Linked DNA regions of Struthio camelus. The protein of the gene in region 3 purifies or fractionates together with the protein of the main gene of each other region. This does not show direct contact. Links are inferred from orthologs where the notes say so. Each region holds a gene or a part of one and is shown on either strand. Other genes may lie near its edges.

What was found. The genes of interacting proteins can lie anywhere in the genome.
Region 1: the proteins of CHD4 (region 3) and SIN3A purify together in Homo sapiens (affinity purification with mass spectrometry; 3 studies listed by BioGRID, with this or other methods). This does not show direct contact. The link is inferred for Struthio camelus from reciprocal best matches to the Homo sapiens genes CHD4 and SIN3A.
Region 2: the proteins of CHD4 (region 3) and CBX1 purify together in Homo sapiens (affinity purification with mass spectrometry; 7 studies listed by BioGRID and IntAct, with this or other methods). This does not show direct contact. The link is inferred for Struthio camelus from reciprocal best matches to the Homo sapiens genes CHD4 and CBX1.

What each region holds. Positions count from the first base shown.
Region 1 is NC_090953.1:23,130,803-23,137,935, forward strand, and holds the start of SIN3A (paired amphipathic helix protein Sin3a), read left to right. Parts: upstream 1-3,961; 5' UTR 3,962-3,976; coding exon 3,977-4,151; intron 4,152-7,133. UniProt on the Homo sapiens protein: Acts as a transcriptional repressor. Corepressor for REST. Interacts with MXI1 to repress MYC responsive genes and antagonize MYC oncogenic activities. Also interacts with MXD1-MAX heterodimers to repress transcription by tethering SIN3A to DNA.
Region 2 is NC_090966.1:5,724,314-5,731,518, forward strand, and holds the start of CBX1 (chromobox protein homolog 1), read left to right. Parts: upstream 1-4,033; 5' UTR 4,034-4,228; intron 4,229-7,205. UniProt on the Homo sapiens protein: Component of heterochromatin. Recognizes and binds histone H3 tails methylated at 'Lys-9', leading to epigenetic repression. Interaction with lamin B receptor (LBR) can contribute to the association of the heterochromatin with the inner nuclear membrane.
Region 3 is NC_090942.1:90,895,037-90,903,225, forward strand, and holds the start of CHD4 (chromodomain-helicase-DNA-binding protein 4), read left to right. Parts: upstream 1-5,187; 5' UTR 5,188-5,456; intron 5,457-6,346; 5' UTR 6,347-6,430; intron 6,431-7,507; 5' UTR 7,508-7,569; coding exon 7,570-7,666; intron 7,667-8,189. UniProt on the Homo sapiens protein: ATP-dependent chromatin-remodeling factor that binds and distorts nucleosomal DNA. Acts as a component of the histone deacetylase NuRD complex which participates in the remodeling of chromatin.

The sequences.
Region 1 (7,133 bases), on a different chromosome or scaffold from region 3:
TAAACGAAACGAGCCAAAGGATGAAACCCAAAGCGCTGGTCAAGGCTGAAAACGGGACTTAAAGGCAGCGCAGGGAAGCCCCAAAGCGACGATGCGGTCCCCGCGCCCACCTGTCTTACTTGGCTTGCTCGTTTTCTTGGCTGCCTGCAAACCCGCTTGCTATCTGCGGTTCATTTGCCCGGGATGGCAAGCGCCGAGTTTGGAAACAGCCCGACTTTGGAGCGCTTAATTTCTCAACTCGTTGCTAGCCTCAGACTTGACCCTAAAAAGCCGAGCAGCCCGTGTCGACCCACCCTGCGATTCACGTACCCTCCTTATCCCCCGGCCGGAGACCTTTCAACCAGCTTAACTAAATCGCAGCTCCGAGCGGGAGGCGGGAGTCCCTCACCGCCTCGTCCGAGTCCTCGGCTAGCGCGGCGGCTCTCCGGATGGCGGGACGGCCCGGCCCCTCCGACAGCCCGGGCTCTCTGGCAGCTCGAGTTGGGGCTGAGAAGGGGAAAGGCAGTGTTTTGGTGAGCACCTGGAGAGGAGAGAAGAAGAAGGGGGGAAAAAAAACCGCAAGAGGTTTGACCTTGTTTTCCTGTTTGTGTTGAATGAAGACGCTCGCGATCACGTTCACAGCAGAAACTCGGATCTGGTCGATCCCAACGTGTTTCTGCGGCGGCCGGGGGCGCGCGGGCCCGAGGGCTCTCGGGGCCTGGATTTCGGGCGTGCTGGGGACGGCCGGGGGGGGGAGAGGGGTGCGGGCAGGACTCCGGGGCCGCGACGCCTCCGTCTCGGCAGCGCGGGGAGAGGAAGGGGGCCGGGGACGGTGCTGAGGGGAACGAGCCGGTGCCCTTTCTAAACCCCCCGGGTGGGGGGTGTCCAGTTTAGCTAACTTTGGGGGCAGCGAGGCCTGCGGGGGGGGGGTCCGCGACACGCTGCCTTGCCAGGCCTCGAGAAACGCGGCTTGGGGCGGGCGGCGGCGCCGCCCCGCTGCCCTCGGCCCGGGGGCGGAGGGGCCGCGGCCTGCCGCGCTCCGCGGCCGGGGGCGGGCGCTGGGCGCTGGGCGGCGCCGCCCGCCCGCGGCCCGGGGAGGGCCCGCCGTGACGAGCCGCAGCGCCGGGCCAATCGGCCCCGGGGGGAGTTCCCGTCCATTCAGGACGGCTCGCCTGCGCGCTGAGGGTATGTAACAGCTGCTTTCAATTTAGTCCCCCAAATATCGGGTTTTTCTTCCCCCCCCGGGGGGAGGCGGGAGGGGGGGGGCAGCGGTGCGGCGGCGGCGGTGCGCCGCGGCGGGGGCCGGGGCGGGCGGCGAGGCGCCAGGAAGGGGGCGAGGGGGGCGGCGCGGCTCCCCCCCCTCCCTCCCTCCCTCCCTCCCTCCACCGCCGCCGCCGCCGGGCGGGACGCGGCTGCCCCCGGCGGGCTGCGCCGCGGGAAAACTTGTTGGGCGCGAAGGGAGCGGGCGGGCCCGCGCCCCAACGGCCGCCCCAACGGCCGCGCCAACGGCCGCGCCGCCTCGCGCCGGGCAGCGGCGCCCAGCTGATCCCCCCCCCCGCTCACCACCGGCCCGGCCTCGCCCCCCCCCCCCGGCCTCCTCCCACGATCCCGCGGCCCCACGCTGCTCCCGGAGCAGTTGGAGGGAGGGAGCGTGGCCGCGGCCCCGGTGAAGGGGTGAGGGGGGGGTGGCGGAGGCCGCGGCCCGGGGCAGCCCGCCGCCGAGCGTGCGGCGCCTCCGCCCCCATTCCCCCCACCCCCCCCCCGCGCGGCGCGCGCGGCCATGAGCGCCCCGGCCCCGCCCCTCGCCCCCATTGGCTGTCCCTCTCGGCCACGCCCCCGGCGGGCCCGGCGGCGCGCAGGTCCCCCTCCCCCGCCCCCATAGGGACAAGCTCCTGGGTGACGGCGGCGGGGGAGGGGAGGAGGGCACCTCTCCTTGCGGCCGATTGGCGGGCGCCGAGGCGGCGGCCACGCCCCCCCCGCGCGCGGCCCTGCCCGGAGAGGCCGGGCGGGCGTGCGTGCGTGTGTGTGTCCGTCCCTCCTCCCCCCCCCACGTGTAATCGATCCGCCCCACGTGGGGCGCTGCCATCCCGGAAGTGAAGCGGCCCGGCGCGCGTGGGGAGGGGTTTGGGGACAAAAGGCAGCGCCGCCCCGCCCCGCCTGGGGGGCCCCCCCCTCCCCCGCCCCGCGGGCCGCGGCGGCGGCGCTCCGGTGCCGTGGGCGCTTCCCAGCGGCTCGGCAGCGGGCCGCGGCGGGCGGAGCCGCGGGGAGGGGGCGGGCGCAGGCTTCGCGTGGCCCGGGGACTTCCCCCGCTCCGCGCCCGGTCTCGTTGTTTAACCCCGGCGTTGGCGCGCGGACAAGGCCGCGGGGGTGGGGGGGGGCGGAGGAGATCGGCGGCGCGGGCCGGCCGCGGGGCAGCGGGCCGCCGCTCCGCCGGCGCCTGCCACTTGTTGCCGCCCCGGCGGGGTTGGGGACGGGGTGCGGGGGGGGATGCGGGAGCACGTGCGGGCGGGGGGGGGGGGGGGACCGCGCCGTGCCGCTCCCCTCCCCCCGCCCGCGCAGCCGCCGCCGATGTAAACATTCCACAAAAGGGCTCCCCAGAGGGGGGCGGGGCCACCGCCGCCGGGGGCGGGGCCGCCGCCGCCGGGGGCGGGGAGGGCGCCCCGCCGTCACGGGCGCGCTCCCCGCGCGCTGGTTGGCCGGCGGCCGGCGGCGGCCGCCAATCGGGCGCCTGCGGAGGCGGGCGGGGGGCGTGGCCTGCTGCTTATACGGACATTTTTCTTCAGCGTTCGCTCCCCCTTCCCCTCCCCTCTCGCCGTCCTCCTCCCTCCCTTCCTCTCCACATCCCCTTCCTGGGGGCCGCGGCCAATAGGGGCGGGCGAGGGGGGCGGGCGCGAGGCGGCGGTTGGCCGCGGCGCCGACGGACGGGCGGCGCGCCCAATAGGCGGGCGGGGGTCCCCCCCCTGCGCGGGGAGGGGCGGGATTTCCCGGGGAACAGAGAAGCGGGCAGCGCTCCGCGGCGGCCGCCGAGAGACGGTTACTCCATCTTACCCCCCCCCCGCCTCCCCTCCCCCCTCCCCCGCCGCGGCCGGCGCCCGCCTCCCTCCGCCGCGCGCGGGGCCCGGCGCCGCCTCCGCCCGGCGCGGCCCGCCGGCCGCCGCCCCCGCCGGCAGCAGGAGGGGCGCGGGGACCCCCCTCGCAGGGCCGGGCAGAGCCCGCCGGGCGCAGGGGCCCCGCGGCCGCCCAACGGGGCCCCCGCCCCCTACCCCCTGGGGGAGCCTCCGGCCGGTGCCAGGGGCCGCTTCGAGGTAAGGGGCGGGCGGGGGGGGGTGACAGAGGCGGCGGGGGGCGGGGGCGGGCCGGTGCCGGCCCCCTCCGGCGATCCGTAGGGGGCGGGGACTGGCGCCGGTGCCGCGCGCGGGAGGAGGAGGAGGAGGAGGAAGGCGGGGGGGGGGGGCCGGTGCCCGCCGCGCGCCTCCCCGGGGAGCTCCGCGCCGCACGGCGGGCGCGCCCCGCCCCGCCCCGCCTCGGCCCGGCCCGGTCCGGCCCGCCTGGCGCGGGGGGTGTCCCGGCCTGCGGCGCGGCGGGGCGGGGGGGGTGGGGGGTGTCCGCGGGCGGCCCGCCCCCACCGGGAGCTCCCGCCTCCCTTTCCGGCGCGCTGCCCTCCCGGTAGCGGCCGCCTCGCCCCGAGGCGCCGCCCCCGGAACACCCCGCGCTCCCGCCGGTACCGGCCGCCTCGCGCGCAGGCTCCGCCCCCCCCCCCGCTCCGCCCCACCCGCCGCCGCCCGCGCGGGGCCTCCAGGCCCTTCCCGGGGCCGCCGGCTCCGGCCGCCGCCGGCCCCGCGCCGCCCGCCCCTGCCAACTTTCCCGAAAACTTGCCGCTGGGAGACGTTTTGGGTTCGTTTCTTAACAAGAAACGCGCTGCCGGGCTGACTTCGCGCCTCGCTCTCTTGCCCCCGTTTCTCCGCTCTTGCCTCCCCCCCGACACGTCATCGCGTACATGCAGCCGAGCTGGTTGCCCGCGTTAAGTTGCCCCGGTGCCCGCTCTGCAGCAGCACGCAGAGCTATTCCGGGTTCCCGAATGGCTTTTGAAAGAGCCTCGTGGAATAACGGCTGCGTCTTTAGTTACCCACGCTGCCGCTTTGCAGGAGGATCCGTTCCCGCGTGCTGTACAGGTACAGGGGAATCTGAGAGCTTCACTTCTCTTGGCTCTCTTTTAAGCATTAATTTTTAAACGTTTTAATAGCAAGCTGGCATCCTTTTTTGCGTGTCCTTTCTGCGCAGTATTCCGCCTTAAACTCGTCAGAGACTTGCATTTAGCGTTTCCGCTCCCGTTACTAATTCTTCAGACTGTTGCACATCAATAGAAACTGCATGAGGGTTTTTCCTAAGGTTGTAGATAACTGACCACGGGGCTCGTACAACTTTAAAAACGTGAGCGCGCTTTGTCTTTACTTTGCTAATTGATATCTTTTCTGGGTTTTGCTGGCCCAAATTCAGAATGAGTTTTTATAGTCTTATTTGTGAAAATAACACCTGTATCCATTGCAATGAATGGAGAGGGTACCTACCTCACGTACTGTCTATCGAAGAGGAAAAACATGTATTTGGACTGCTGAAAGGATACCGAGCTGAAAAATCCTTTCTTTAAAATCGCACTGGAGCAAGCGACCACAAGTGTCTCTAAAAACCCGTGCCTTTCTCATCACCTGCGTTTTTCTGAGGAATCGGAACCTGGCTTCTGCTGTAGAATGTAGTTTAATGATGACTTAACAAATTACATTTGTTTTCTAGCTTGTCACTTTTATATCTGTCAGTTGCACTAAGAGGACAGTAATCAAGTGCAAAATGCCCAACCGGATTTTAGTGCAGGTTTATCTATATTTCACTCTTGCAGTCCTAACTTGATATTTGTTAAACACAGTTTCTAGTAAACATGTATTATTTTAAAATATTGTACTGTTAATGCGATATAATAAATTGATGCTTTATGTCAAAATACTAATTTTAAAGCACCTTTAACATCCCTTCATCACTGGCTAGTGCTGCAGGAGCTGAAGTCCAATTTAGGATCTTTGTATGAATGAAGTTAGAAGTTTTGCAGTCGGGTGCACTCTTCCTGTAAAAGGAGGCTGTGCTTTCTTGCCCAAAGGTGTTTCCGCTTTGTCCCCTCCTACCATCCCTCCCTGTCAAGATACGGCTTTGAAAGGCTTCCGACAGATGCATTTAGCCAGTTTTAGATAAAATCAGGGCTGCGGCAGGGAAGGGAAAGTGAGGTGTATGGTTAGAGAAGCGTTGTGTCTCCCCAGGATGGTTACTGCGCTCCACTTTGCGTGGGGAGGGTACGTCGAAACTTTCACTATGCCTAGTAAAGAGGAAAACTTAGTGTGAAAGTAGTCATCTCTGTATTATTTAGTAGTATAGGATTGGTGTCTTAAATAAAAAAAAATGGTGGGCAACAAGGTAATCATAGTGCTCTAGTGTGAACGTGTTTGAACAGCTTAAAAATGATAGTTCACCCAGTGAAAAGACACCGAGTAGCTAAGCTGCGGGGCACAAAACTGATGAGGAAATTCGGGGCGATTCAGACTGCTCGGCAACTGGGTGGGAAGGGTGATGACTTAGAGGCTCTCTTTCACCCTGGATCATCAGGCGCCGCCGATGCGTCTCTGTGGTTCCTTTGCTCGGCGCTGTGATTCGTTGCGGCGCGAACGAGGCCGAGGAAGGAGCCCTCCGTGCAGGGCTTCTGGGACGTGTAGGTCTCGCAGTGAGGAACATCGCGTTGAAATTGGCAGGCAAATCATTTACGTTTCCAGGATTTATGAATCGTTTTCTGTCCAGATTGCCGTTCTGGTCTTCTCCAGCATTGGAAAGCTTTTATAGTTGTTCAAGCTGGAACAGAAAATACAGTCCTGTAATAGCTGTCATTTTATCCTGTTAGACTGGAGGTGTGCTTTTGGTATCGTGCTGCTTTCTTCCAATTGCTATGGGATCTCTTTTTTAATGAATAAATAAAAATATTCTGGTTTTCTGTGTGTGCATGGGGAAACTGTGCTCAGGGAACTCGGCAAAATGATACTGAACTTTGCATTTAATGTAAAGCCTGGTTTGGATTGTCTCTTTGCGGTGGTCGCAGTGAAACGCAAAGTTGAGGCTCCTTGCCGCTTTGGCGTAGCGCGCGTCAGTGCCTCGCCACCTTGTTTACCCATCTGGATGGAGACGAGGGGGGTTTACTCGTGCCGCATCTGCCTCGCGCCCGGTGCTGGCACGTCACCCGCAGGGTGTCGTCACGTCACCCTGCAGAAAACTCTCCCAACTGTTAGGAGAGTTTGGCGTAACGCTCGTCTTGTCTCGTTTTGCGACGCCTGGGACTCGCCAGCCGGGAACGTGCCTGTCTGCGCGATACCCCTCCGCAGCAGGGCCGGGAGGTTATCCCCGTATTGCAGGTGAGGGAGCTGAGACCTGGGCGGATAATGGCCAGGGCTGTGTAGCGCTGTGCAAAAATATCAGAGCTATCGCTGAGCAAGCTAGGTCATGTTCTGGAAGTAGCACGGCTGCGGGAGCTGCGCAGACAGCAGCGCTGCGCTATCCGGCTGCCAGAACCTGAGCTAGCGCCTTTTTTAAGCGGCACTGCGATATACCGCGTAGACGCGCTGCAGGGGGCTTGCCCGTGGCCGCACAGGAAGCCCGTGACAGGCGAGGACGGCGTTTAAGTTACGTGTTCAGCTTCCCGAGCCGTAGTCCAGGCTTACGCTTGCTGCTTCTGAGTTTTGGGTCCTTTCTCTCTGTAAAGGAAACTAATCGGTCTCCCTCCGCATGTTTCAGTACAGTCATTACTGTTTAAAAAGCAGAATAGAAGTGTCAGCGTTGCGCATGTCACAAGTTTTGTGTTCAGGTGTCTTTAAGCATTTTCGAACAGCAGGTGATTTGTGAAAGTGTGTCTGATACGAGTGGTTTCTCTTACTCCCTTAGACTTAGTGGCATGAGAGGGCTGTTCCTTAGTGCTTCCTAGAGCAAACAGGGGTGCTTGTGGTGCACTGCAGCCCCATAAGGGCTTTTCTCAAAGCCCACGTGCATGTTAAACACTTCACCTGCAACTGGGCAGTTTGCTTCCCCCCCCCCCCCCCCCGACGTGTGTGAAGCCTGCAGGGACTGAA
Region 2 (7,205 bases), on a different chromosome or scaffold from region 3:
GTCTCCCATTAGCACCAGATACTGATAGGCTGTTTCTCTTCAACTCTCACAATTCACCTGAATAAGCAACACATTCAGTGCAGTTTCCCCATGCAGTTAGATTGTGTGTCTGCATTGTGACCACTCTCACTTGCGCTCCTCCTTCACCCCCTACTCTTCTCCCAGCAGGAAAGGGGGGAGCCAGGCAGCACTTGCAAAGCCCACAGAGACCTGTGAACCTGCCCAGCGAACCCCTGGGCTGTCGGCTACGAAGCTTTCCTGGCTCAGCTATGTTGCGAGCTGTTTGCACGTTCCCATCGCACAAACCACTTCCTTTGCCACATCCCTCTGGTATTCCTGGGTCCTGTGGGATGGTGTCAGCCAATTTGCTGCTCCATTACACACTCCTGCAGTAATTCCTGTTCTGCAACCATACCACGAGCAGAGTGCCAGTGCTCTGGGGATGGGGGACAGCCAGATAACCCCCCGCCACCAGTAAATGCATCACAGTCCAGCCAGTGAAACCCCTCCGAGACAGCGTGCATCCTCCTGGACACCACACAGACCAGGGCTGCTCATCAGGGGGAGCTGGAAGACCAAGTGCGTTCAGTGTCCTGGTTTCACCTACTCTGGCTGGGTTGTTTGCAACATGTTTTGGAGCCCCTGGGATGAACCGGCAGCTCAGGACTTTGCCTGTCACAGCCCAGGCTCCCGAGGGACACGGCTGCCTCGTCACTGAGGCAAAGCAACCCTTCACCTGTTCCGGGTTCCTGGAGTCTTGCCTTTTAGGCCATGAGAGCTGCCAAGTGCCAGGCAGCACTGGAAACACAGCCTTTATTTATATGCTCAGATGTGAAGCAAAGCCCTTCTGAAGACGGAGCTAATTTTAGCTGGGACAAGGGGAGGGGTGAGCCACAAACCACCTTTTAAAAAAAAATCTGGCTCCACCGGTTTGTAGGTCCTTTCTGAAAGACCTCAGCCGTCCAATTCATGCTGGAAAGCACAGAAAGCGTTAATAAAGAGCAGAGAAGAGTTTCGGGAGACAGCAAGAGACCATTTCAGGATAGACAGCAAGCAGCTTCTGGATATCTCCAAGTAATTGAACTCTTGCTGGAGCTCGGTCAGGCTGCTGCTGTTTCCAATTTGAGCTGCAAGGAGGAGGGCAAGGGGAACCTACCCAAAACACAACACTTCACTGCACATGATTCTTCCCCCAGGGAAGGAGGGGAGAGAAGGAGCCAAATGTGACATTAGTCACTTTGCTGAGTGCAGTAACAGGGGGCGGGGGGGGGGAGCTCAGCTCCTCCCCCGTGCTGGGGGCTCCCATCCAGAACCAGCTCAGCAGCACAACTTGACCATTATGTTCCTCGGCCTCCCCAGAGATGCTGCCTCGGTCCTGTTGCTTTCAGAGCTCCTTGCTCTGTGTAACAGCCCTGCTTAGATTAAAAATGCAGGAGGAGGCAGGGGGGGGAAAGAGAGAGACTCACAAATTGCCTAATGGAATAGCAGAGAGCTGCCAGGAAGAGAAATTTAATTTCCCAGCTGCTGAAAGGGTGCTCCGAAGAGCAGAGACCCAGGAGGGGGAGACGGCTCTCCGCTAGTCAGCAAAGAGGCAGGCAGGCTGAGGGAGAACAGAGATGGGTTAATCAGAGAGCAGCAGCGCTCACCGACCCTGGCAGCCTGGGGAGGCGAGACCAGCCGCGGATCAGGTGCCTCGGGCAGAGCTAGGACGACTAGGTTGCAGCAGGACACTGGAATTCAGCTTGAGGGCCTGGTACAGCACAAAGGCTTAGTTATTTGTTTAAAGATAACCTGGGAAGTAGTGCTCACGTCTTGTACCATCTTTTACTGGTACTTTCATTCAGCAGTGTATCAGGAAACGCATAATCTCATTTAAGCTTTATTTAGAGCTAATTATCTTAAACTTGATAAATCAACTTAAACCAAATGGAGAAGGCAGCTTTGAATTAGCTTTAAACAGTGATGCCAAATCCTCTTTTTAGAGCTTTTGCTTAAAGCCTCAGTTTAAGGGGCCTTGGGATACATGGTTTGGTTTAATCTTCCTCTAATTTGCATTTTAGTGTTTTCAGGGCTCACACTTCCAGTGTCTTCTGGCTGGAAGGACAAGAGGCTTGGAAGCCAAACTTAAACCCCATCATCTGCGCTCTTGGAGCCTCATAACTTTTAACCTGATTTCAAGACAGCTTGTGACTCCAGAGTGATGTGGTTAGCAGCGCTGAGGAAGGGTTTCTGCACTGTCCTTCTGCAGGCAGATCAAGTCTGTGCTTAACCCATTAAAAAGTCAGTCAGCACAGCCCAGGATGTGACACAGACCTTGTTTTTAACAGAACGGAGAAGTGGTCCAACTCCACGCTGCCAAGTCAGCCCCATACACGCACTTCTTACAGATAAAGCGTTTGTTTTTCTCTTTTACTCGTTATCTTTTATCTGCCTGGCTGACTCAGACACATCCTTAGCAGTCTGTCACCCTCCTTACCAGCGGGACCTGCATTGAATGCTCTTTCCTACCAGCGCACATCGATGACCACATAGTCCAGCTCCTGACACGCAGCTCTGCATCCCTTCTGGGACCGCAGGAGACCCTCCCTCCGCCAGAGCCGCTCCCTGCACGACTCCAGGCCAGCCCGCCAGTGGCCCAAGGTTTCACTTCCATCCTTAGCAGGTACAGCAGGACCCCAGGCCCCAGGTGACTTCTACTTTAGCTTTGAGTTTTGAGGAAAGCTTCACAGAAGAGTTCCACAGAAAGGGGGAAAAACCAAATAGGAACAAGTCCAACTTGTTTCTGCTTTTACTTGTCACACCCAGAGTAATGAACTGGGTTTCCATTCAGAAAACAGACCTCAGAGAGATTTTCTGAAATTATTTGTTTTCCTTTCCAGTGGGGAACGGGTTCCGCATTCAAACAGACCCCAAAGAAGGATTTCCCCAGTTCATCACTTCCAAACGGAACCAGACTTCTCCAAACAGCCAACTGCCATACCTGCGCCTATACAAGGGCCAGTTTAACCACGCTATCGTCACTGTATTCATGTGGCAGAGACGCAGCAGAGCTGCTGCCGAGCTCGGCGGGGCCATCAGCGCAAGCGGGGCCTGGCTGTCACCCACTGCGCCGGGGCCAGCGCTCTGTCCGCTCCGAGCCCCTCGGAGCGGCGTCAGAGTCATTATTTTCCACATTTTACACGTGGAGGAGACGGTTCTGCAGCAACGCAGTTACCTCCATGCCCTGGGCTCAGCGCAGCTCCCCCGGCAGGAGGAGCCTTGGCAGGTAATGTCAGTCCCTGCCCCACGGCAGCCACATCCAGTGCCAACCCCAGGACAGCACCAGGGCTGGCAGGGTAAGGCCCCCCCCCCAAGCACCACCCTGCCCCAGAGCCACCCAGGGGGCTGGCAGGGCAAGGCCCCCCCCCCGCACCATCCTGCCCCAGTGCCACCCCAGGGGGCTGGCAGGGCAAGGCCCCCCCCCCAGCATCACTCTGCCCTAGTGCCACCTCCAGGCCCACTCCCACACCCCGGCGCCCGGCCCCAGCACAGCCCCAGGGGACAGCCACGGCGCCCCTCTGCCATCGGGCAGGCCTAGGGCCGCCGCCGCCCCCCAGCCCAGGGGATCCGTCCCAGCCCGGACACCCCGCCGGTGTCAGCGCGCACCCCCCACCCCTCGGGGGCCCCTCACCTCCTCCTGCCAGAAGCGGCCCCTTTAAGCAGGCGCGGCAGCGCGGCGGCCTTATAGCCAGGGCGGCGCGCTTCCCCTTCCGGCGCGGCGCGGGGCACTCTGGGAGCTGTAGTCCGCGCCGCGGGGCGGGGGTGTAGGGCTCCTTGCGTGCTGCGCGGGGGTCGCGGGCGGGCGGCTTGCGCCCCGGTGTTTCTCTGGCATCTATGCGGGGCGGGACAGAGGCCGGGCGGAAGAGGCAGGCCGTTCGGGGCGGAGAGGCTGCGGCACAGCGGGCCCGACTACAGCTCCCATGGCGCCCCGCGGCGGGCGGGACTACATCTCCCATGGCGCCCCGCGGCGGGGGCGGGCGTAGGACTACAGCTCCCATGATGCCAGGCGGGCGGCGCGGCGCAGGCGCGGCGCGGGCGGCGGGTACTGGGGCTGGCTGGGCTCTTTTGTTTGACGGAGGCGGACGGAGAAGCCGCCAGGCCCGCGGCGCCCACCCGACGTGCCCTGCCCGCCCGCCGCCGCGCCCAGCAGGCCCCTTCCCCTCGGGTACCGTTGGCGGGGCTGTGCAAGGTGAGCGGGGCCGGGGGCGGGCGGGGGGCGCCTGGGGGGGGGGGGCGCGGAGGAGGCCCCGGCGGGGGGGGGGGCGGGCTGGGGGATTGGGGGGGTGGAGGGGGCGTTTGGGGTGGTAAGAGAAGGGGGTGAGGGGGAGGGGGCGTTTGGGGTGGTAAGAGAAGGGGGTGAGGGGAGGGGGCGTTTGGGGTGGTAAGAGAAGGGGGTGAGGGGAGGGGGCGTTTGGGGTGGTAAGAGAAGGGGATGAGGGGAGGGGGCGTTTGGGGCGCCAGGAGAAGGAGGGTCGAGGGGAGGGGGTGTTAGGGGCGCCAGGAGAAGGAGGGTCGAGGGGAGGGGGTGTTAGGGGCGCCAGGAGAAGGAGGGTCGAGGGGAGGGGGCGTTAGGGGCGCCAGGAGGAGGGGGCTCGAGGGGAGGGGGTGTTAGGGGCGCCAGGAGGAGGGGGCTCGAGGGGAAGGGGCGTTTGGGGTGGTAAGAGAAGGAGGGTCGAGGGGAGGGGGCGTTAGGGGCGCCAGGAGAAGGGGGCTCGAGGGGAGGGGGTGTTTGGGGTGGTAAGAGAAGGAGGGTCGAGGGGAGGGGGCGTTAGGGGCGCCAGGAGGAGGGGGCTCGAGGGGAGGGGGTGTTAGGGGCGCCAGGAGGAGGGGGCTCGAGGGGAGGGGGCGTTAGGGGCGCCAGGAGGAGGGGGCTGGAGGGGAGGGGGCGTTAGGGGCGCCAGGAGAAGGAGGGTCGAGGGGAGGGGGCGTTAGGGGCGCCAGGAGGAGGAGGGTCGAGGGGAGGGGGCGTTAGGGGCGCCAGGAGGAGGGGGCTCGAGGGGAGGGGGCGTTAGGGGCGCCAGGAGAAGGAGGGTCGAGGGGAGGGGGCGTTAGGGGCGCCAGGAGAAGGAGGGTCGAGGGGAGGGGGCGTTAGGGGCGCCAGGAGGAGGGGGCTGGAGGGGAGGGGGCGTTAGGGGCACCAGGAGAAGGAGGGTCGAGGGGAGAGGGCGTTAGGGGCACCAGGAGAAGGAGGGTCGAGGGGAGGGGGCGTTAGGGGCGCCAGGAGGAGGGGGCTGGAGGGGAGGGGGCGTTAGGGGCGCCAGGAGAAGGGGGCTCGAGGGAAGGGGGCGTTAGGGGCGCCAGGAGGAGGGGGCTCGAGGGGAGGGGGCGTTTGGGGTGGTAAGAGAAGGAGGGTCGAGGGGAGGGGGCGTTAGGGGCGCCAGGAGGAGGGGGCTCGAGGGGAGGGGGTGTTTGGGGTGGTGAGAGAAGGAGGGTCGAGGGGAGGGGGCGTTAGGGGCGCCAGGAGGAGGGGGCTCGAGGGGAGGGGGCGTTAGGGGCGCCAGGAGGAGGGGGCTCGAGGGGAGGGGGCGTTAGGGGCGCCAGGAGAAGGAGGGTCGAGGGGAGGGGGCGTTAGGGGCGCCAGGAGGAGGAGGGTCGAGGGGAGGGGGCGTTAGGGGCGCCAGGAGGAGGGGGCTCGAGGGGAGGGGGCGTTAGGGGCGCCAGGAGAAGGAGGGTCGAGGGGAGGGGGCGTTAGGGGCGCCAGGAGGAGGGGGCTCGAGGGGAGGGGGCGTTAGGGGCGCCAGGAGGAGGGGGCTCGAGGGGAGGGGGCGTTAGGGGCGCCAGGAGGAGGGGGCTCGAGGGGAGGGGGCGTTAGGGGCGCCAGGAGGAGGGGGCTGGAGGGGAGGGGGCGTTAGGGGCGCCAGGAGGAGGGGGCTCGAGGGGAGGGGGCGTTAGGGGCGCCAGGAGGAGGGGGCTCGAGGGGAGGGGGCGTTAGGGGCGCCAGGAGGAGGGGGCTCGAGGGGAGAGGGCGTTAGGGGCGCCAGGAGAAGGAGGGTCGAGGGGAGGGGGCGTTAGGGGCGCCAGGAGGAGGGGGCTCGAGGGGAGGGGGCGTTAGGGGCGCCAGGAGGAGGGGGCTCGAGGGGAGAGGGCGTTAGGGGCGCCAGGAGGGGGCTCGAGGGGAGGGGGCGTTAGGGGCGCCAGGAGGAGGAGGGTCGAGGGGAGGGGGCGTTAGGGGCGCCAGGAGGAGGGGGCTCGAGGGGAGGGGGCGTTAGGGGCGCCAGGAGGAGGGGGCTCGAGGGGAGGGGGCGTTAGGGGCGCCAGGAGGAGGGGGCTGGAGGGGAGGGGGCGTTAGGGGCGCCAGGAGGAGGGGGCTGGAGGGGAGGGGGCGTTAGGGGCGCCAGGAGTAGGGGGCTCGAGGGGAGGGGGCGTTAGGGGCGCCAGGAGGAGGGGGCTCGAGGGGAGGGGGCGTTAGGGGCGCCAGGAGGAGGGGGCTCGAGGGGAGGGGGCGTTAGGGGCGCCAGGAGGGGGCTCGAGGGGAGGGGGCGTTTGGGGCGCCAGGAGAAGGGGGCTCGAGGGGAGGGGGCGTTAGGGGCGCCAGGAGGAGGGGGCTCGAGGGGAGGGGGCGTTAGGGGCGCCAGGAGGAGGGGGCTCGAGGGGAGGGGGCGTTAGGGGCGCCAGGAGGAGGGGGCTCGAGGGGAGGGGGCGTTAGGGGCGCCAGGAGAAGGGGGCTCGAGGGGAGGGGGTGTTAGGGGCGCCAGGAGGAGGGGGCTCGAGGGGAGAGGGCGTTTGGGGTGGTAAGAGAAGGAGGGTCGAGGGGAGGGGGCGTTAGGGGCGCCAGGAGAAGGGGGCTCGAGGGGAGGGGGTGTTTGGGGTGGTGAGAGAAGGAGGGTCGAGGGGAGGGGGCGTTAGGGGCGCCAGGAGGAGGGGGCTGGAGGGGAGGGGGCGTTAGGGGCGCCAGGAGAAGGGGGCTCGAGGGAAGGGGGCGTTAGGGGCGCCAGGAGGAGGGGGCTCGAGGGGAGGGGGCGTTTGGGGTGGTAAGAGAAGGAGGGTCGAGGGGAGGGGGCGTTAGGGGCGCCAGGAGGAGGGGGCTCGAGGGGAGGGGGTGTTTGGGGTGGTAAGAGAAGGAGGGTCGAGGGGAGGGGGCGTTAGGGGCGCCAGGAGGAGGGGGCTGGAGGGGAGGGGGCGTTAGGGGCGCCAGGAGGAGGGGGCTCGAGGGGAGGGGGCGTTAG
Region 3 (8,189 bases):
TGCTCCCCGTAGCACGGTTGTTGGGCACCGTGTTAGAAACCCCTCTCCCAGAGCGGGGAGGAAGCTCTCTCCAGCTGAGGTAGGGGATTTCTGTCCCAGCTTGTTTTGTAGTATTTCTGCTAACTGATTGCAAGAGGAGATATGTTTCAGTGTTAGTGATTTTGCCAACACACGCAAGCTTTAGTAGCGGAGACGGAGATAGGTATTATGGAATTGCAATCCAGGCAGCTTAGACCAGTAGGCCATTACTGCAGTCTTTCTGAGACCACACTTGCTTCTTCTGTGACTGGATTCACCTGTTTGCTTCATGATGAGGGTAATAGGGCATACGTCTAGGGCATTTTAGGGAAATGGTGACTTAAAAATGGTAATTACTAAGCAACCTTAACTTTGTGGATTGCTTCCAGCTTTGATTAGTCATTGTATACAAAAATCCATGTTAAAAAACTGGTAATGTTGCAAAGTCAAAATGTTGCCAATGCAAAATAACATTCCTTCCTCTGTCTTACTCAGTGCCTCCAACTCCAGAAAAACAAAGGAACATGGGAAATTCAAATCTGAATGTCTGAAGTTTGCCAAAATTCTGAGCAACCGAAAACAGACTTGTGATGGAAAATATCAAGCAACCTTAGCTAGAGGTTTCAGTACCAAGTATATTTGTAATATGTTTTTAGCATGAGCAATCAAAGTAGCAAAACATATAGAGACAGAGATCAACACTTCATTTTTAGAGGGGGCTGACTAAAAGAACAATCCCCCGTCTTCTGTATCTTCCCAGTTCCCCGCTACTAGGAGAGCTTCATGCAATAGGAGAGCTTTGGCTCACACAGTGTGGTTCTGGCTGCACAACTGTGCCATTCACCCTGCCCCCTTCTCCTCCCGGCAAAATAGCAGAATCTGGCCCAATATTCCATGACCAGCGCAGAGCAAAGTGTTTATGGCACATCAGATGCAGAGTCACGCTGGTATAAGAGCAGTTCTTACCTAGGTGGTTGTTAGAGTGACCAGATCCTCTGCTGAAACTAGTATGTTAGTCTCAAAAAAAGAAATATACATGGTCTGTTCAGTGGTTCTTGATCCCATTCTGATTGTATACTACCCAATTTTCCTTGTTTCCCTGCAAGTTTTTGTTTGCCATTTGTTCCAGGGGCATCTGCTCTCTATAGGAGCACCTACTTGGACATGACAGAAGTGGCTCATATCTCTTCTCCACAAGAAAAGGAGACCATTTCTGTATCATTTGCTTCCATGTCTGACACGAAAGCGAAGACACTTCCAGTGTGGTAAACAATGCATCTTTGTGAAAAGGAGAGGAGGGTAATGAAGAAGACAACAGTGAAAAAGGGTCTTTTAAACTGCCTTAGCTTGCCATGAGGACTTTTCAGAAATCTGGAAGTGGGGAAGAGCAAATTTTGAAAGTATCTGGGATAAAGTGCTCTGCAGCTTCGCGGTATTGGGGAATCCTTGAAAAATTCAGGCCATTTGTTTTGACTAGTGTTGAAGACAAAGTATTCTCACAAAAGTTAGTTAGACACTATAAAAATGTAGGATTGAAGAGACAGGCTCAGGGATAAGAACTGAATGCTGAGTGAAAGTTCGGACCAATTTCCTTCTAATTTTAAAGTAAAAGTTATATATCTGGGAATTTGATACCCTTCTTCCCTAAAATGATCTACAGCAAGATTCTCTGCATTACCAAAGAAAAATGAAAGGCAAGACTTGTCAGAAATCCTAGGATCTTCAAGGCTACTTGGCAGAAGCTGCTAGACCTCAACTCAGAATAATGGCAAGCGTCGGTATGATAGGGAGAGCTCGCATGATTGCTGAACAGGAGAATGCTCTGCAAGCAATGATGAGTCCATTCACTTTAGCTACAAATGGTCAAAACTGGGTTAGAGGAAGAGATGAAATGTACCTACAGAGTGTGAGGAACAGTATCACATTTATGGATACATCAGATGATGCCAATTGTACACAGATGCTGAAAGATATTTGCATGTTACTAGTTATATTTAACCTGACAAAGAAAATGGTTATTATAGTCAGGCTAGAGCAGCCTCAGCCAGAAGAACGGCAAAAATGAAGAAGAGTAAAACAGAAGTACATCTGTATCCCAGGACTCAAATGAAGCAATACACAGGCAGCATCACAACCTCCAGCATCTAAAACCATTAATACCTCTGCTTTGGTACTGAACACAAAAGGAGCTAACAGAAAAATAAGCTGGGACACCATAAACTTGACCTCTAAGATCACATTGTCTGCACCGCCAGCAAGTCATGGATATTATCCATTATCTGTGCCTTATGCCTTACGTAGTTAACATTAGCCCGTAAAGTCTGCTTTCTTTCTAAAGTGCTTTAATGTCCCTTCTCCCGCATTCTTGACTCCCACATTCAGCAACACTGAAATATTCTAGATGAGGGATTCCTAGCCTCCACTGGTGCCTGAGTAACACCACTGAACTAAGTACTGCATGGAAACAATGTCACACTTTGCTCTTCTGGTTACCTTGAAGAAACAGGTCTCTATGGAAAGTGAAAGTGAAGACAGACAGTGAGCTATGGTAAAAGTCCGGGGTCAGTAGCCAGGGCTAGTGGTAGCAGATGCATGGCTGAAAGTGCCAGAGGCAGAGTAGGCTATCTGCAATATGGAGGAAGATGGAGCAGGGCTCGCTCCTGGATCCCCAGACTGGGACATGAGCCTTCAATGAGGCCCCTTAGGCCAGGAATAAGGATCATGCATGAAACTACAGAAATAGTTTAAATAGAGGCCACACCACCATGTTACCATGGGGATATACAGCCCACTTTATCCAACTATCCTTAGATGGGTGTACAGAGGTGTATGGAGAATGCTTTGGTTGATTAGGATTTCCCTAACATAGGCACAGCATCAAAGTGGGGGAATACTGCAGGGATGTCTCCCCCCTCCCCCCCCCCCCCCAAAATGTGCTATGTTTTTCAGAGAGCTAACACAGATCAGGAAGTATGGAAGATTATATTGTAGAGATGGTGCTGTGATTTTTTTCCAAGCTAAGTGCTATAAACTCAGAAGATTCGGTTAAACTTGCTAAGTAATCAAGAAACAGTGAGGTAGGGCAACTTTGCAGTTTAAAGCAGCCAAACAGCTGGAACTCTGTCTTGTAGTGTTATGATCAATGCAAAACATTTAGAAGTCTCCCCTCGCCTTTTTTTAATCCATGTAATGTACTTGATTCTCACAAACACTAAAAACACCTCAATCATAATTTGTATTTAGCATGGAATTTTTACAGTGAAAATTAAGGTTTCTGCTGACTGATAAACTTTGAGTTACGAAGAAAAAATGAGTTGGAAGTGAGGTGGGAAAGGCATAGTATTAACGATAAAAATATGTTCAAGTGTGGTGTATAGAAAGATTTCAGCAAAGTAGCGGCTAATTGGGAAGCTTGGCACTTCTGTAGCTGAGATGCTATACGTGTTGCATAACTGGTAGTAAACAGCCCTCTCAAGATTGCAACCCTACCAGCAAGAGTGTTACAGAGTATGCACAGAGATAGCTCTAGTAACTCCCTTTATGGTGTCTTTGCCTGTGTAGTGCCTTTTAATATGCGATCAAACCACTAGGAGCGAGATTTTAAGAGGTGTACTTAGAATTCTGTAGTAACTATTTAGGGCTGGCCTGCTTAGCATGGGAATTTGGCATGGCTGTCCACATAGCTGCTATTAGAGAGGATTATGGCTGTCTGTGCAAAAGAGGTAATGAAAAGTCCTATGGGGGTCTGTGTGAGTTTGGCAGTACCGAGTGGATAGCATTATCATACGTACACAGAACATACTGTTATGCCATATCCATATGGAGGATAGATAGTATCTGTAGTATAGTAACACATAGCTCTTTCATACCACTTTTCCACTGTAGATCTGAAATAAATGATAGTGTCAGTGCAATTCAAGTAAAGGTATAGTATAGGTATGTACTGCATGTGTGTGTAACACGTGGTTGGAAGGGTGGTGGGATTTTCTATACATGTAAGAAGGTAAATAGTGCAATAGTATTTTGGAGTATACAGCCTAGTTTTTGCTAATAATGGAGGAAGGATGTGCAGAGGAGGGGTGGGTCGTACTATGGAATGCCTGCATATTTAGACAGCATTACAGGACTGTATTGAAATACGCATTGTTGAAGGGCATAGGAACGAAATGGTTGAGCTTGACAGTATTTCAGCACAAAGGTGCTTATCGTGAGGAGGAGGGCAGTCTGGTGGCTGTGCATGTGTGTAGTGAAGTATTTGCTAACATTATGGAAAATCCAGGCACACAGCAGAAGCAAATGGATAGTGTTACGGAATATCTATGTATACAGTGTACGTAGGGACATATTTTTGGTATGGTTTGCATGACAAAGTATAGATTGTATTACAGGATGGATGTTAGCAGTAAGGCCGCCGCTAATATATTGGGAATCTGTGTCTTACAGCAGCGGGCCAGTGCCACTGTGCGCAATGGGCATGTGTACCAAAAGAAGTGGGATGGCAGCGTAGAATGTTTTTATCTAAAGAGGGATGAGTATAATCTTTGACACCTGTGTATTTATTGGGTGAGACGGACAGTAGGGTGCATCTGCCTTTATTGAGATTAATAGTGTTAATAAAGATGCTAAATTGGGGATAGGTAATATTATGGCATGTGATTTTGTGTAATGAAAAATTAATGATATTGTTGCATGTGCATAATTGGGGTGTATTTATTTTTATGGACTATTCATGTCAATATAACGTGATGATTAGTTTGCTGGTGGAGGGCACTAGCAGGGAGCGGTGTGTTGCTCTATAAAACGGCTATGTCTCGAGCAGGAGGGAGGAACAGCACATATTGGAGGTTTTCTCTGTATCCCTGGGGTAGGAATAGTTTTAAAGGTACCGGCGTTTATGACAGGCGGATGCATTGTGTGTGTGGTCAGGAGGTGACAGGAGTCACTGTGGGATTGACACACAAGCTGCTGATGGTGGCTGGTGATTGCGCTGTAGAGCGCCGTGGACTACTGGTGGGTACCGCGAAGGGGCCCGCAGCGCTGTTGGGTGCACGCGACAGAGCGGAGAGTGCCAGCGTGCTATGGGGCACCGTGGGCCCGATTCTGGCAGGTGCGTGAAGGAGGAGGTGGAAACGCGATACAAACGCCATACGTGGCTCTCTCGGGATGCCTGCCTCTGCCTATGGAGAGAAGGGATGACCAGGCACCCAGGGGTGCGCGTGGGAAGGACCTCCTGGGTGCTGCAGAGCCGGGCGCCGGACAGGCAGAGGGAGCAGCGCTGCACCAGGGCAGGCGCGCAGCGAGCTCGGTGGGGCGCTCAGTAGTCCACTATCAAGGGTCGGGCGAGAAGCGTGAGCGTGGCGGCCACGGTTCCCGCGGACGGCGACGCCTGGCTTCGGCTCCCGCCCAGCACCAGCGAAGCCTGCCCTCCACGCTCAGGGGTGAGCGGGGCGGTGGGCGCAGGGGGCCCGCCGGGGCAGTGGCAGCCGGCACCAGGGTCCTGTTGCTGCCCCGGCGGCTGCCTCCGAGGGGGAGGGTGGTGCCCGCCGTGGGGCCTGTGGAGCCCGTGTGGCCGGGAGGCACGCAGGGGCCGGGCGGCGGTGCCAGAGCGCTACAGTGGCGCGGCTGGCCGGGCGCCCCGGGGCCGTTAGGGGCCGCGCGGAGGGGACGGGGCCCCGCGGCGGGAAAGGCCCCCGAGGGCGGCGGCGGCGGGCGGGGCGGGGCGGGGGCCGCGGGTGGGCTGGGGGCGGCGGCGGCGCGGTGGGGAGGGTGGCTGGGAGTATTATGGGATGTCTGGCTGGACGGTGGCTCCCGGCGACTATTATGGGATGCCTGCCTGAGCGCGGGGGGGTGGGGTGGGGGTGTGACTATTATGGGATGTGCGCCTGGGGTATGACTATTATGGGATGTGCTGGGGGTTATTGCAGTGTGCGGGAGGCGGGGGGGGGGCCGACCAGGGGACGTGCCTATTATGGGATGGCAGGCCGGGCAGCGGGGGCGCGGGGTGAGGGGGGCGCGCGCGGGGGGCTGGTAGGGGACGAGTATTATGGGATGCCTGAGTGAAGGGGTTAGAGTGTGGGGAGTATTATGGGATGTTTCTCGGAGGGACGGTTGTATTATGGGATGTTCCTGCTGGGAGGGGTTATTATTATGGGATGCCGGGCCGGGCAGTGAGTGGGAAGTTCTGAGGGGAGGGCGAGTATTATGGGATGTCTCAGTTGGGGGGGTTGCCAGGGAGACGGGGGCGGGGCCCGTTGCTGGGGTCCCGGGGCATATTATGGGATGGAGGCGGGAGTGGGGCGGGGCCTGGCTGGGTTTTTTCCCCTTTAAGAGGCGGTGCCGGGGCCGGAGCCATTTTCCCTTCAGCAGCGGCGGCGGCGGCGAGCGAGCGAGCAGAGCTGGGGTCTTGAGCCGGGTGAGGAGCTGGGAGGGGGCGGGTAGAGCTTTCCGCCGCTGCTTGGGGTGTCTCTGGCTGCGGGCGCCCCTACGCGCCGTGGGCCGCCAGACGCAGCTCCCTCGGGGCTGCGCTGTCCTCCTGCTCGGGCGACCGCAGGACCGCGGCGACACAGCACCGGCGAGCAGCCGCCCCGCCGGTGCCCGCTGCCCCGGCCGCTGCCAGCCGCTCGGCTCCCGGCCCGGCGCCCGTCCCTGGGGAGAAGCGGCCCCTCGCCGCATGCGAGCCGGACTTCCCCGGCCCCGCCCCGCGCCCCCGCCCGGGCGACCGTGCCCCGCCGCGACGCTGCCCCCCCTCCCCCCCCCCCCCGCCCGCCTGCCACCCCCGCCCTGCGCCGCGCAGCCCCGCTCCGGGCGGGGGCGCGGGAGCGGCGGGCAGCGGAGCGGGGCTGCCGGCGCCGCCGAGCCGGTCCTGCCTTTTGTGCGCGCCCGCGGCGCGCGATCGCCCCGGTGGCAGCGGGCTGCAGGGACCCGAGGAGGAGGGGGAGGCTGCTGCTCGCCTGCCTCTCCGGCCGTGGTGGCTGCAGCCCGGGGCTGGCGCGCCAAGTTTGTGCAGGCGAGTTGGGGACTCCCGGCAGCACTTGTTCCGCCGCTGTCCGCCGTACCGGTCCCGGGCTCAGCCCCGACCGCCGCGGTGGCTGTGTGGCTCGCTGACAGCGCCCTGATTCAAGGTCTCCTTTGGAAAATCCGCCTCCCCTTCTTGCCTCTCCTTCTCCCAGTCCAAAGTAGAAATAACCTAGGGCGCACGCATTCTGGTCTGGCCCCTGATTGCAGGGGAAAGGAAAATTTCCCATAGGCTAGCTGTTTTGGCTTCCTTGCAAGGGATGAGTCGCTGACTCAGTTTACTATCTAGTGTCTTCAGAGTCTACTTCATCACAACTTTAAGCTGATACCTGCTGCCAGTGTTTCTATTATCTGTAGGCTCCAAATCCAGTAAAGCTGCCGTCCAAGCTTTCTCACAGATCTCCTTGTTAGCACTATTGCTTGGGAAACAGGAGTTCAGGTGCACTATAACTTTCTCCTTTCCTTTTCAATAAAGTACTGGCTTGACTGGCAGGAAGACACCTTGTATGAGCCTGGGCCTCCACCAGTTTGGAGGACATGGCATCGGGCATTGGATCTCCATCCCCGTGCTCAGGGGGCAGTGATGATGATGACATGGAGATTCTGTTGAACAACGCTATCTCCCAGCATCAAGGTACAGAGCCTACGGGGCATGAGTGTGTGAACTGGGGAGATGCTATTTTCATGCTGAATATGTGAGAGAGATGAAGATGATGTGCAAGGCAATGTTGTACTTTGCTAGGAGTCATGCATGTGCTTTTTTTTTTTTTTTTCAGTATGTGAGTCCTAGCTAGGATTAGCTCAAAATGAGGCTCACAGCTTTTAGTCAGGTGGAGCTGACTTTGTTCCAAGCCATTGCAGGTTGTCAGGGGCCTGTGCTTTGAGGAGGTATAAGGGGGTGGAGGCAGAGGGGTGGATTCTGACAGGGCACTGAAATGCCTGCAAGTTTCATGTTTCATGAATGGGGAGGGGGAAGAGGGGCAGTATGTGAAAGGGCAGGGTGTCTGACTTTCTTTCATCTGGGAACTCAGACCTGCTGACGTCCAGAGCAAACTGCCCTGGGCTGTTGTGTGACCCACTTTCTTCACCACACCCAATTATTGAGATTTCTTGTGGCTCTTGGTCTGTGCTGCTTGCTCACCTTTGCTTTTCTTTGA